Schizosaccharomyces pombe: one gene and its partners. The protein of the gene in region 2 binds, or shares a complex with, the protein of the main gene of each other region. Each region holds a gene or a part of one and is shown on either strand. Other genes may lie near its edges. A codon is read from its position in the direction of its gene.

The links. Proteins that work in one complex are often made in the same cells at the same time.
Region 1: the proteins of cox3 (region 2) and cox13 are in contact, whole or in part, in a cryo-EM structure (PDB 8C8Q), measured with the Schizosaccharomyces pombe proteins. Residues at the interface, in YP_011104931.1 of Schizosaccharomyces pombe: Tyr38 (codon at 1,207), His40 (codon at 1,201), Glu117 (codon at 970), Pro124 (codon at 949), Val125 (codon at 946), Gly126 (codon at 943), Ile127 (codon at 940), Leu135 (codon at 916), Glu136 (codon at 913), Leu139 (codon at 904), Leu140 (codon at 901), Val143 (codon at 892), Ile144 (codon at 889), Thr147 (codon at 880), Ala150 (codon at 871), Ser151 (codon at 868), Thr153 (codon at 862), Tyr154 (codon at 859), Tyr157 (codon at 850), Ser158 (codon at 847), Ile160 (codon at 841), Ala161 (codon at 838), Arg162 (codon at 835), Met173 (codon at 802), Tyr189 (codon at 754), Trp190 (codon at 751), Ala192 (codon at 745), Pro193 (codon at 742), Phe194 (codon at 739), Thr195 (codon at 736); in NP_588417.1 of Schizosaccharomyces pombe: Glu46 (codon at 1,839), Glu47 (codon at 1,842), Ala50 (codon at 1,851), Lys51 (codon at 1,854), Ser53 (codon at 1,860), Ser54 (codon at 1,863), Trp57 (codon at 1,920), Lys58 (codon at 1,923), Thr61 (codon at 1,932), Tyr62 (codon at 1,935), Gly65 (codon at 1,994), Leu69 (codon at 2,006), Ala72 (codon at 2,015), Ser73 (codon at 2,018), Asn75 (codon at 2,024), Ala76 (codon at 2,027), Ile79 (codon at 2,036), Tyr80 (codon at 2,039), Tyr97 (codon at 2,138), Phe99 (codon at 2,196), Glu100 (codon at 2,199), Asn101 (codon at 2,202), Leu102 (codon at 2,205), Arg103 (codon at 2,208), Lys105 (codon at 2,214), Tyr107 (codon at 2,220), Pro108 (codon at 2,223), Trp109 (codon at 2,226), Thr115 (codon at 2,244), Phe117 (codon at 2,250).
Region 3: the proteins of cox3 (region 2) and cox4 are in contact, whole or in part, in a cryo-EM structure (PDB 8C8Q), measured with the Schizosaccharomyces pombe proteins. Residues at the interface, in YP_011104931.1 of Schizosaccharomyces pombe: Leu3 (codon at 1,312), Ser4 (codon at 1,309), Thr5 (codon at 1,306), Lys6 (codon at 1,303), Phe7 (codon at 1,300), Gln8 (codon at 1,297), Gly9 (codon at 1,294), His10 (codon at 1,291), Pro11 (codon at 1,288), Ile73 (codon at 1,102), His74 (codon at 1,099), Gly75 (codon at 1,096), His77 (codon at 1,090), Thr78 (codon at 1,087), Lys79 (codon at 1,084), Leu159 (codon at 844), Arg162 (codon at 835), Arg164 (codon at 829), Tyr233 (codon at 622), His234 (codon at 619), Leu235 (codon at 616), Thr236 (codon at 613), Asn237 (codon at 610), Thr238 (codon at 607), His239 (codon at 604); in NP_593042.1 of Schizosaccharomyces pombe: Ala49 (codon at 1,119), Lys50 (codon at 1,116), Pro52 (codon at 1,110), Leu55 (codon at 1,101), Arg61 (codon at 1,083), Asp62 (codon at 1,080), Gly63 (codon at 1,077), Glu64 (codon at 1,074), Val65 (codon at 1,071), Pro66 (codon at 1,068), Thr67 (codon at 1,065), Asp68 (codon at 1,062), Glu70 (codon at 1,056), Gln71 (codon at 1,053), Thr73 (codon at 1,047), Gly74 (codon at 1,044), Leu75 (codon at 1,041), Glu76 (codon at 1,038), Tyr78 (codon at 1,032), Glu79 (codon at 1,029), Glu83 (codon at 1,017), Phe90 (codon at 996), Met92 (codon at 990), Asp157 (codon at 795).

Annotation. Positions count from the first base shown.
Region 1 is NC_003421.2:2,045,848-2,049,038, reverse strand, and holds cox13 (cytochrome c oxidase subunit VIa), read left to right. Parts: upstream 1-1,651; 5' UTR 1,652-1,703; coding exon 1,704-1,866; intron 1,867-1,914; coding exon 1,915-1,939; intron 1,940-1,989; coding exon 1,990-2,039; intron 2,040-2,087; coding exon 2,088-2,142; intron 2,143-2,194; coding exon 2,195-2,254; intron 2,255-2,338; coding exon 2,339-2,378; 3' UTR 2,379-2,627; downstream 2,628-3,191. Other genes in the region: protein mug33, read right to left, coding at 93-1,103. UniProt on the Schizosaccharomyces pombe protein: Component of the cytochrome c oxidase, the last enzyme in the mitochondrial electron transport chain which drives oxidative phosphorylation.
Region 2 is NC_088682.1:7,326-10,278, reverse strand, and holds cox3 (cytochrome oxidase subunit 3), read right to left. Parts: upstream 1,319-2,953; coding exon 509-1,318; downstream 1-508. Other genes in the region: cob (apocytochrome b), read right to left, coding at 1-104; cox1 (cytochrome oxidase subunit 1), read right to left, coding at 1,487-2,354.
Region 3 is NC_003424.3:709,279-712,918, reverse strand, and holds cox4 (cytochrome c oxidase subunit IV), read right to left. Parts: upstream 1,685-3,640; 5' UTR 1,619-1,684; coding exon 1,507-1,618; exon of another isoform or gene 1,201-1,506; intron 1,152-1,200; coding exon 769-1,151; 3' UTR 565-768; downstream 1-564. Other genes in the region: serine carboxypeptidase Sxa2, read left to right, coding at 1-428; SPOM_SPAC1296.01C (phosphoacetylglucosamine mutase), read left to right, coding at 2,896-3,023, 3,089-3,174, 3,275-3,491, 3,580-3,640. UniProt on the Schizosaccharomyces pombe protein: Component of the cytochrome c oxidase, the last enzyme in the mitochondrial electron transport chain which drives oxidative phosphorylation.

The DNA.
Region 1 (3,191 bases), on a different chromosome or scaffold from region 2:
TAAAGGGGGGACGGTTAAAAAATGCTTTGAAAGTGAAATTAGAAAACATGTAGAGATGATAAATGATAGATAAAACTCGATTGGTCGATAATTTACGAGCGGCCCCATGAAAATCTGCTGGGCTTCTTGTCGTTATTGGCTTGAACATCATTAATCGACCATGGATTTGGAGCTGGAGCTGAAGCGGGATCTTTAAAGGGATTTTCAGGATCTCTAAACGGATTTTCAGGAGCCTGTTCTGCAGGCTTATTGCGCATAAACGGAAAGCGGAAGCCCGAGTTAGATTTCGGAACGGGAACGGGCTCACGAACAGTTGGGGCATAGGAAGACAGAGAACGACTATCGTTGCTAAAAGTAGGCTTCAATTTTGAGACAGAGCCTCCACGCTTGAGACCATCATCCTCGGAAATGGTATCGTACATAGGCTTTTCGGCAGAATAATCGCTGAATTTGGGAAGGTCTCCCTTGCGAGAAGAAGTAGAAAAGATATTGCTGCTGTTTTGCAAAGAGTACGGATTGTAACCCAAGCTGCCAGAGGTGGCGCGACGAAGATGCTTGGCCTGTAACCTTGTGGCTTGTCTGCGTGCAACAAGGAGTAAAAGCAAGACGATGAGTTGAATGCCGACATTGGCGAGCACAAGCCATGACGGCCATTGAATATGGGGGACAAAAGTGATGACACAGATAACGAAAGCAATGGCGGTGATAAAAATGTTAAAGAATGTTATGGTTCCAATGACATTGAAGAAGCCGGGAGAGCGGGCAATGGCACCAATGTGGGCGAATATAGTCATAATGGTGGATATGAGACAGATGCAGGCAGACACGGGAACAATCACCAAGCCGTAGGAAGCTCTTTGACGCACAATAACGGAGGTACGAAATCCGTCCTTTGCATGTTCATCAAGGTAATCCGAGTTGTAACCAACTAAAGGCTTGCTGCAATTTGAATTTAAGCAGTAACCGAAAACGCCAAATCTAACGTCTCCATACTTTCCTAAAGTAAGATTGTTTGCAAGAGGAGGAGTACATATAGCTAAGACGAAAAAGACAATGGCGATAACCAGTAAGATAAGGGAAGGAGTAGCACTACGAATCCGCATTTTTTAAAAAAAAGCGGAAAAGCTTTGGAGGGTGATTTGAGAGAGTAGTTTTTGAGCTTTTGCTAGCTACCAACAAAGTTCAACTTTGCACGGTTAGGATTTAAAGATTTCCTTTTTGTTCCTCTACAGCGAGAAACGATCAAAAAAGAGATGAAATCCGAGGGGAAGGCAGAAGTTGAGAAAGGGCAATTTGGTACGTAGCAATGAACGAAAAGGCTCTCAATTCGACTAAAAGTGTTTAAATTACCAATTCCTAATATGGAAAAAAGAAATAATTTGTCCTTGAAGTCGCTTTTATGTATTTGGCGGAAAGGCGATTTTTGGTGGTGAGATATGATGAGGTTTTTGTTGTTGGTTGTGGTTGAGTTAAACGTTGTTTGACTTCATTCCCCCTTTGCGCCACACTTCAGTAGTACGGTACGCTACGCAACTGAACGCTAAACATTGCTAAGGTAAATTTGTACCGAGGTAGAAGAATGCACACGGTGCGTTACTACAGTATATGGGTAGAATTACGAAGGTACGGGAGGAGCAGAATGTTCACAAGCAACAACTCCCATCTCCTTGAAAACATCGTAAAAAAGCGAATTTGTTAGTGTAATGAGCATGATGAATCGTAACATTGGCTTCCTATCCAGAACATTGAAGACGAGCGTTCCTAAGAGAGCGGGTTTGCTCAGCTTTCGAGCTTATAGTAACGAAGCAAAGGTGAACTGGCTTGAAGAGGTTCAAGCAGAAGAGGAGCATGCAAAGCGTAGCAGTGGTATGTGAATTGTGGGAATAGAAATTTATCTTACTAACGGGTTTATAGAATTCTGGAAGAAAGTGACTTATTAGTATGAACATGAGGAAGTGAAGAATTTGTGTGGTAGCTAACATTTGCCAGCATTGGTGGACCAGCATTGATATTGGCTAGTGCCAATGCGTATTATATTTGTACGTAAAAGTGTAATGTGAAGATTTGCAACGACTAACAAGAGATAGATTGCAAGCATCAAGAGCATGCCAAGCATGTTGAAGATACGGACCCTGGTTATAGGTATGAAGAAGATAGAGAAGAAATGAAAGGAAGGGACTAATGAATGGTTTAGCTTTGAAAATTTGCGCTTCAAAAAGTATCCATGGGGAGACGGTAGCAAGACACTTTTCTGGTAAGATGAGAATGAGAGAGAAGAGAGGAAAGAAGGGAGAGATTATGTTTGTATGAGACAAGGAAATTTACTAATGATATACAGGAATGATAAAGTCAATCATTTAAAGAAGGATGATGAATAGGCATAGCGTTCTTTAAGCCTTTTTGCACGACTCAATTAACCCCCATACCATGTAGCAAGCAAAGAAGAACGAATAAGGTGTTGGAGGGATGCATAACGGAAAGTGTGTTTTTAGCAATGCTAAAAGGTAATAGTGAGACCATACGGGTTTGTATTGCCAATAGCTGTTTTCTTATCAATAGTGACTTTCAGCATTGGATTCGTTATTTGTTTAGCGACGTACAGTGAATAATCATTGATTTCTGAAAAAGCAGAAAAGAGAGATGAGGTAGTTGAAGGAGGATATGGAGACAGTTGCATACTATGTAAACAAAATGAATAAGTGATGAGACTGAAAGTTGGCATGCGAAAAAGAGAACGAATATATATACAAATCATTAATATGCTACAAGTAGTTCACAGTCTGTTTCTATCCTTTTGACTTTTTTATTTTTACTGTTTAAAATTATATTTTGCATTAGTATATATGTAACATTAAGATTATAAGGAATTATTAATCTCAAGATAATAATGAGTTTTGTAGGAGTGTTTTTCAAGGAAGAAACGTATTCAAGGAAATGGAAAAGTGTTTACAAAGCTATAACATATTGTATTTGAAAAAAGTTTTATTTTGATTAACTGGGATCGTAACTAGAATGTGAAAATGTTTCTAGTGTAGAGACATAATATAATAAGAAAAGGACTTGAAAAATAGCGGATGCGAGCGTTACCTAACGAGAGTGGGCAACATGGTAAAAGGGAAAAGGAAGGAGAAGAAAAATGGTGCAGCGAGCAAATAATCCAAAGGCACCTAATATGACTATGAGTGGTAGCG
Region 2 (2,953 bases):
AGAGAACCAAAATTCCAGAAGTATGAAATATTTGAAGGTTCAGGAGCATCAATCATATAATTATTAGCCAAAGCTAAAAAAGGATTAGATTTTAAAATTTTCATAAAAATTAAATTTGAAATTATCCCTTCTAAATTGAACAATCATTATCGATAAATAGTCAAAAATTTGAAGGAATTGGGAAAAAAGATCCAAATCTTATTAAAAGGATATTGGATAATAAAAGATAAGATAGGTTAGATACTATCTGAGATCCTCTTATACCAAAAATATGGGAAAGGGATTGCTAATTAGAGGAATTGAACCTCTAACTTCGTACTTACAAGGTACGCACTCTACCAATTGAGTTAAATTAGCTAAAAAAAAAATACACACCTTCTAGGTGTGGAATCTGTACTAAGAATCGAACTTAGATCGACTCATTAGAAGTGAGATGCTCTACCATTGAGCTATACAGACTATTTTAGAGAAATAAGATATAAAAAGGGGGGAAAAATTGAAGTAAGCCTTAGCTACCCCAAATATAAATAGTTAAATAAAGGAATAACCAAACAACATCACAGAAATGCCAATAATAAATACCACATTCAAATCCATTATGATGAGTATTAGTTAAGTGGTAAGTATAAATATTATAAGTAGCAACAAGAAGTAGAATTGTACCAACAATAATATGAATACCATGAAGACCAGTAGCAAAATAGAAACTAGCACCATAAACAGAATCTGAAATAGTGAATGGAGCATTCCAGTATTCATAAGCTTGACCTCCTAAGAATAAGAATGATAAAGCGATAGTCATATATAAACCTTTTAAAGCATTTTCTCTATTTCTAGCAATTAATGAATAATGAGCATAAGTTAAACTAGCACCAGAAGTTAATAAAATTACTGTATTTAATAGAGGGACTTCTAATGGATCTATTGTTTTATCTGCTATTCCTACTGGTGGCCATACTGCACCTAATTCAAAAGTAGGTGATAATGAACTATGGAAGAAAGCCCAGAAAATAGAAGCAAATAAGAAAGTTTCAGAAATTAGGAATAACATAAATCCTATTTTTAATCCTTTTGTTACTGCTTTTGTATGTGCACCATGAATATTAGCTTCAGTTGACATATCTCTAAACCATAAATACATAGTTGCTAATAAACCTAAGAAACTGATTCCAAAGAATACTGATGAATGTTTGTATCCATGTAAATATAATGTAGCTGCTAAACAGTTAAAGAATAATACTACAGATAAGAAAAATGGCCAAGGTGACGCACTTACAATATGATAAGGATGTCCTTGAAATTTAGTAGAAAGATTCATGTTTAAGCTAAATTAGTTTATCTCAATAGTGTTCTCTCACATATAAGGAATAAAAAAATTATAAAGATACAATTTTGAATAGGATAGCTAAATTATCCTTCAATCTCCCTCTCCAATTTTTAAATTGGAATAAAGTTTATAAAATAAAAGGGGGGTTAAGATTTTAAATTAAATACTTTTTGTAGGTAATGTATTAAATGCGTGTTCGTGTACTGGTGAATGTAGTAACCATTCTATTGATTGAGCTACCCCTAATTTTTCATTTACGAAGATTACATTATCATCAAAATAGCTAGGGATTAAATAAGGATTTGTTTTAACCACTCTATTTGATGTAAATTGATCATACATAACATACATAAATAGGAATAATGAAAGAATAGAAATTACTGAACCAATACTTGATACAAAATTCCATCCCACAAATGCATCTGGATAATCTGGTATTCTTCTAGGCATACCATTTAATCCTAAGAAATGTTGAGGACCGAATACAATATTAACACCTATGAATAAAATCCAGAATTGGATTGAAGCTAGAGTTTCATTGTACATTAATCCAAACATTTTTGGACTCCAATAGTAGTATGCACCACAAAGACCAAATAATGCACCCATTGACAGAACGTAATGGAAGTGAGCTACAACGAAATAAGTATCATGGAAAGCGATATCTAATACTGAATTACTTAATATAACACCTGTTAATCCACCAATTGTGAATAAGATTAAGAAACCAATAGCATATAACATAGGTACTCTTGACCATTGTATTGCACCACCTGTTAAAGTAGCTAACCAACTGAAGATTTTAATACCTGTTGGAATTGCAATAACCATAGTTGCAGCACTGAAATAAGCTCTAGTATCAACATCTAAACCAACTGTGAATAAGTGATGAGACCATACCATTAATCCTAATAAAGCAATACTTAACATAGCCCAAAGCATACCTTCTTTACCGAAAATAGGTTTATGAGCTAAACTAGGAATAATGTGACTAACAACACCGAAAGCTGGCATAATTAAAATATAACAATAAATTTTGGTTAATGAAAAAAAATCACCCAAAAGGTGATTTATTCTTTTTAACACTCAAAAGCTTTATACCCTTGTTAGGACTTTATTTTAAATCTCAACAAATCTAATTAATATTCTTCCGATAGGGATGAGGTTTTTTTATTTGAGAAAGTCCTGATTCTGTTAAATGTTTATTTTCTTGAATAATAAGATAAGCTTTTCTTCATTTTAAATAGCTAATATATTTAGAAGATAGCAAATGATAATTATCAAAATAATTAATAACTTTTTTAGCTGAACCAAAACTAGTAGAACCATAATAATAAGTATCTTGACTTTTTCGATAGCCTATATTACCACCTAAATTATCTTTAATTAAACTCAAAAGATACTCTTTTTTTTGATCTATTTGATAGTTCAATCGAACTTCTATTTTTTTGTCCCTATTTAAAATTTTAATCTGAAAACTAGCATCAGCATCTGAGAATCCAGCTAGCCAATGATTATTTAAATTATTATTTGAATTTAAACCTAAAGTAATAGTTTTACTAAATTCTTTAAATCTAGGATGAGCAAATATATTATTAATAATCTGATTATATTTACTAGTAGTTC
Region 3 (3,640 bases), on a different chromosome or scaffold from region 2:
ACCTGAACAGAGAAGATGTTCGCTCTTCTTTACATGCTACGAAAGCTTCAACTGCGTTGACAAGCGGCGAGGGTGTCTTCGCAGACGGATGCAATTTTGACTTATACAAAAAGATTGTGAGTAACAACGTAGAATCAGTTCTCGTTGAAATAATTCCACGCTTAACAGAAAAATACAAAGTGTCTTTCTTAGCTGGGGCATTGGATCTTCAAATTCTTTGGACCGGAACTCTTTTGGCATTGCAAAATACAACATGGAATGGATGGCAGGGATTCACTCAATCTCCTGGAAGTTTAGAGACAACTAATGGATTTACTTTGGATGAACGTAACTTAGCCTTTACATTGTCCAACTCGGTTGGGCACATGGCTCCATCTAAAGACCCTCAAATGGTTAGAGAATGGCTTGAAAATACGTTGCTTTATTAAAAGTTTAATATCGGAAAATTTAAAATACAAGTTTATTGACTTACCACTGATGTGGTATATCAATAAATAACTATCGTTTATGAAACTCGGAACGATAATTAGATCATATTTCCGCATGACTACAAGAAAAAAAGAATGGTGCTTGAATTAACAACTAAGATATGGTTGAATAGATAGAATTATTTATAAGATATACGTTTACGAATAATCGAATCGTTCCCAAAATAAGAAATAGATCAGCATACAGTTTTCATTGATTTTTCAAAGTTCAAATAAAAGAGCTAAATTGTTATAAAAGAGTATGAAAATAGCAAGGGGATATGGAAGATTGGTAAGCATACTAATGACTGTGTTCAGCGTTGGGATCTCCCATGAATTTTAATTTGTATACAGATCCGCATTCAGGACAACGGCGGAGTTTGTCTTTGTAGACAGTCATCCAAATTAAATTATGTGAACCAGAAGGACTACCAGTACAGCCAATATGACGGTAAGGATCAAGAGAAGTGACCATTATAGGATCCGTCAATGTGCCTTTACGAGAAGCATCCAACGGTTTCATATCAAATGCATCTCTCCCTGAAAGCTCTGATAAAAGTTCATATCGTTCCAAACCAGTGGCTTGCTCCAAATCAGTTGGAACCTCGCCGTCACGACCACCAGGTCCGATCAAATCAGAAGGTTCCTTAGCGTTGGCTAATTCTTGAGCGGCGGCTTTTACAACTAAAAGAATGTTAGTGAAGGAGATAAAAATTAAGCTAAAAAGCCCTAAAATGTATCGGCAGCACAAATTAACAAGTCATATCTACTAAGCGACTTAATAGATGAAATAGAAAGCGTTTTAAGAGAGTGGGCTATAGGCAACGTCGATTTTCATTCTTTTGATTACTTTTTAGGTCTGTAAAATATAGAAAAGAATGAATGGGCACACAAGCCTAACTTCCGATATATAATTAATAGCAAAACTGTACATCGGAGATCAAGAGTCAACGGAAGCTTTACTCCTATAGCCAGTACTAAACAAGCTTTAACCATTAAGCTGCTATGACAAACTTTACTAAGCTTTCAAAGGACTTACCGTTTTGCTCATTACGGCGGATTGAAGCAGAAACAAAGCCACGGTACAGAGAAACAGTACTCCTGACCGCTGCTCTTTGTCTGGAGACACGAAGCATAGAATTCATAAACATCTTAAAAGACAATTATTGATGATTTATAACCTGATAATGGGTGAGATGGGGTGTTGTGTAGTTTCCAACGTTGGTCCGGTATTGTGTAACGAAATTTGGTAGGACAGCAAGCTACAACAGAAAAAAAGATGAGAAGGTTAACAAAAAACGGAATTATTTCTTAAACAGTTACGAATAAGATGATAATGGGGAAGTTCCAATATTACTATTGCCTTAATTATATTGTATAAAAAACGAGTAGTATGAGATGTCCTTTTCTTGATTGACTATCGGTGCTCATAACTTGCTAAACATATCTGAGTGTTATAATTAAAGGGATCATTGCTATATTTCTACTGATTGTTTGTGTTTTTTAAGGTTCATGAGCTATACCCTGGAAGAAATTGACTTAAATTGTTTTGTTTACTCATTTCTTATACAACTCTTTATGAACTAGAGGTTTAATGTATCATGTTTGCCTCGGGAATATTAATTATTTTAAAAGCAATATGACCGAAAGAAATAAATTCCCTAGTGATGAACGATTTTCAGGTCGTTCATTTTCGATCTTGTCCTCTCAATTATTACAATCCGTTTGTTCTATTGTTTAAAGCAAACATGCATACATTCTCTGTATATTACTGACCACATTGTGTTAATCAATTAAATCTAATACGAAATACTATTTTTTAATACCTTTTCGTTGGTTCATTTAGTCGTTTCTTTTCATCTAGTTTATTCACATTAAATTTCATAGCTTTTCATAATAATTGTAAAAAACGTTGAGGTGTCTTTCTGCTATTTTGTAGCTAATTTACAGAGTTAACTATTGAGTCAACCAACTAAGTTGTTTATTTAGCAACTTCGAACATAACCCAAGCGATGAAAACCAAATTGATAAATATTTATGTAATAAAGAAAGAGGAAATATGTGAAGCTTTTATTAACTTCGTAGACGTTAAACTATTCCCAAATTTCCTTCTAATAACGAATATGTATTACGCAGTTCATTATTCCGCGATATTTAAATTGCCATAGTTTGGTGATAGTTGACGCGTTTGGCATCAACTTAGTAGCAATCCAGTGCTTATTCGGGACTCGAATATATCTTGAGAACACAAAGTCATATCTCTTAACTTCTTAAGTGTACTTTTTTATTAAGAGAGCTTTGAGGTCAACCTGTTTTCTCGAAGCTTAGGCTTAAGTGACTTCGTTCTTCTTCCATTCATAGTTTCGATACTTTAACAAGTTTTTTTTACAAAGGATCGTCAGACTTCTGTATCGATATTTTCCCCACTATGTCTGATGCTGAAGACAGCGATTCGATTGTAAATGAATTTGTAACGGCAATTGTTCGAGAATCCGATAAGTTTGCCAAAGTGCATTCTTATCCCATGCAGTATGGTACTGGAGGATATCGCGCTGAGTACGTTGATAAAAAAAGAAACTTACTTTTAGTTTAAATGGAAATTATTAACATTTTATTTATAGCGCTGAGCTGCTTTCGAGTGTTGCTTTTCGCACAGGCGTAATCGCCAGCTTTTTGTCAGCCAAATTGCATGGACAACCTGTTGGACGTAAGACACATACTTTTATTATTGCGAGATGATTCATTTACATATTGATATCCATCTTGTTCCTTTGTATTTCTTTGAGTTTACTTACTAACAATCTTAGTTATGGTGACTGCCTCGCACAACGCCTCTTCCGAAAACGGGTTAAAGATCGTAAACATTTTGAGTAGCCTGGATTCTAGCAAATGGGAAGCATACCTGGATCAAGTAGTAAATGCGGATTCCGCTGACGAATTAACGGTTTGTTTAACTTCAATTTTGAAAAAGGCAAAGATTATTCCCGGTTCTGAAGCTCGGGTGTTTGTTGGCTATGACTCAAGGTTTGTTTTACTTTTATTGTCGATATTAGATCACTTAATTTCTCCGCTTTTTTAAATCTTATGTCCAAGACTAACATCTAATACTTAGGTCTACTTCAGAAATCCTTGCGCAAGCTGTAATTGACGGTATTGTGGTCTGCAAAGCAAAG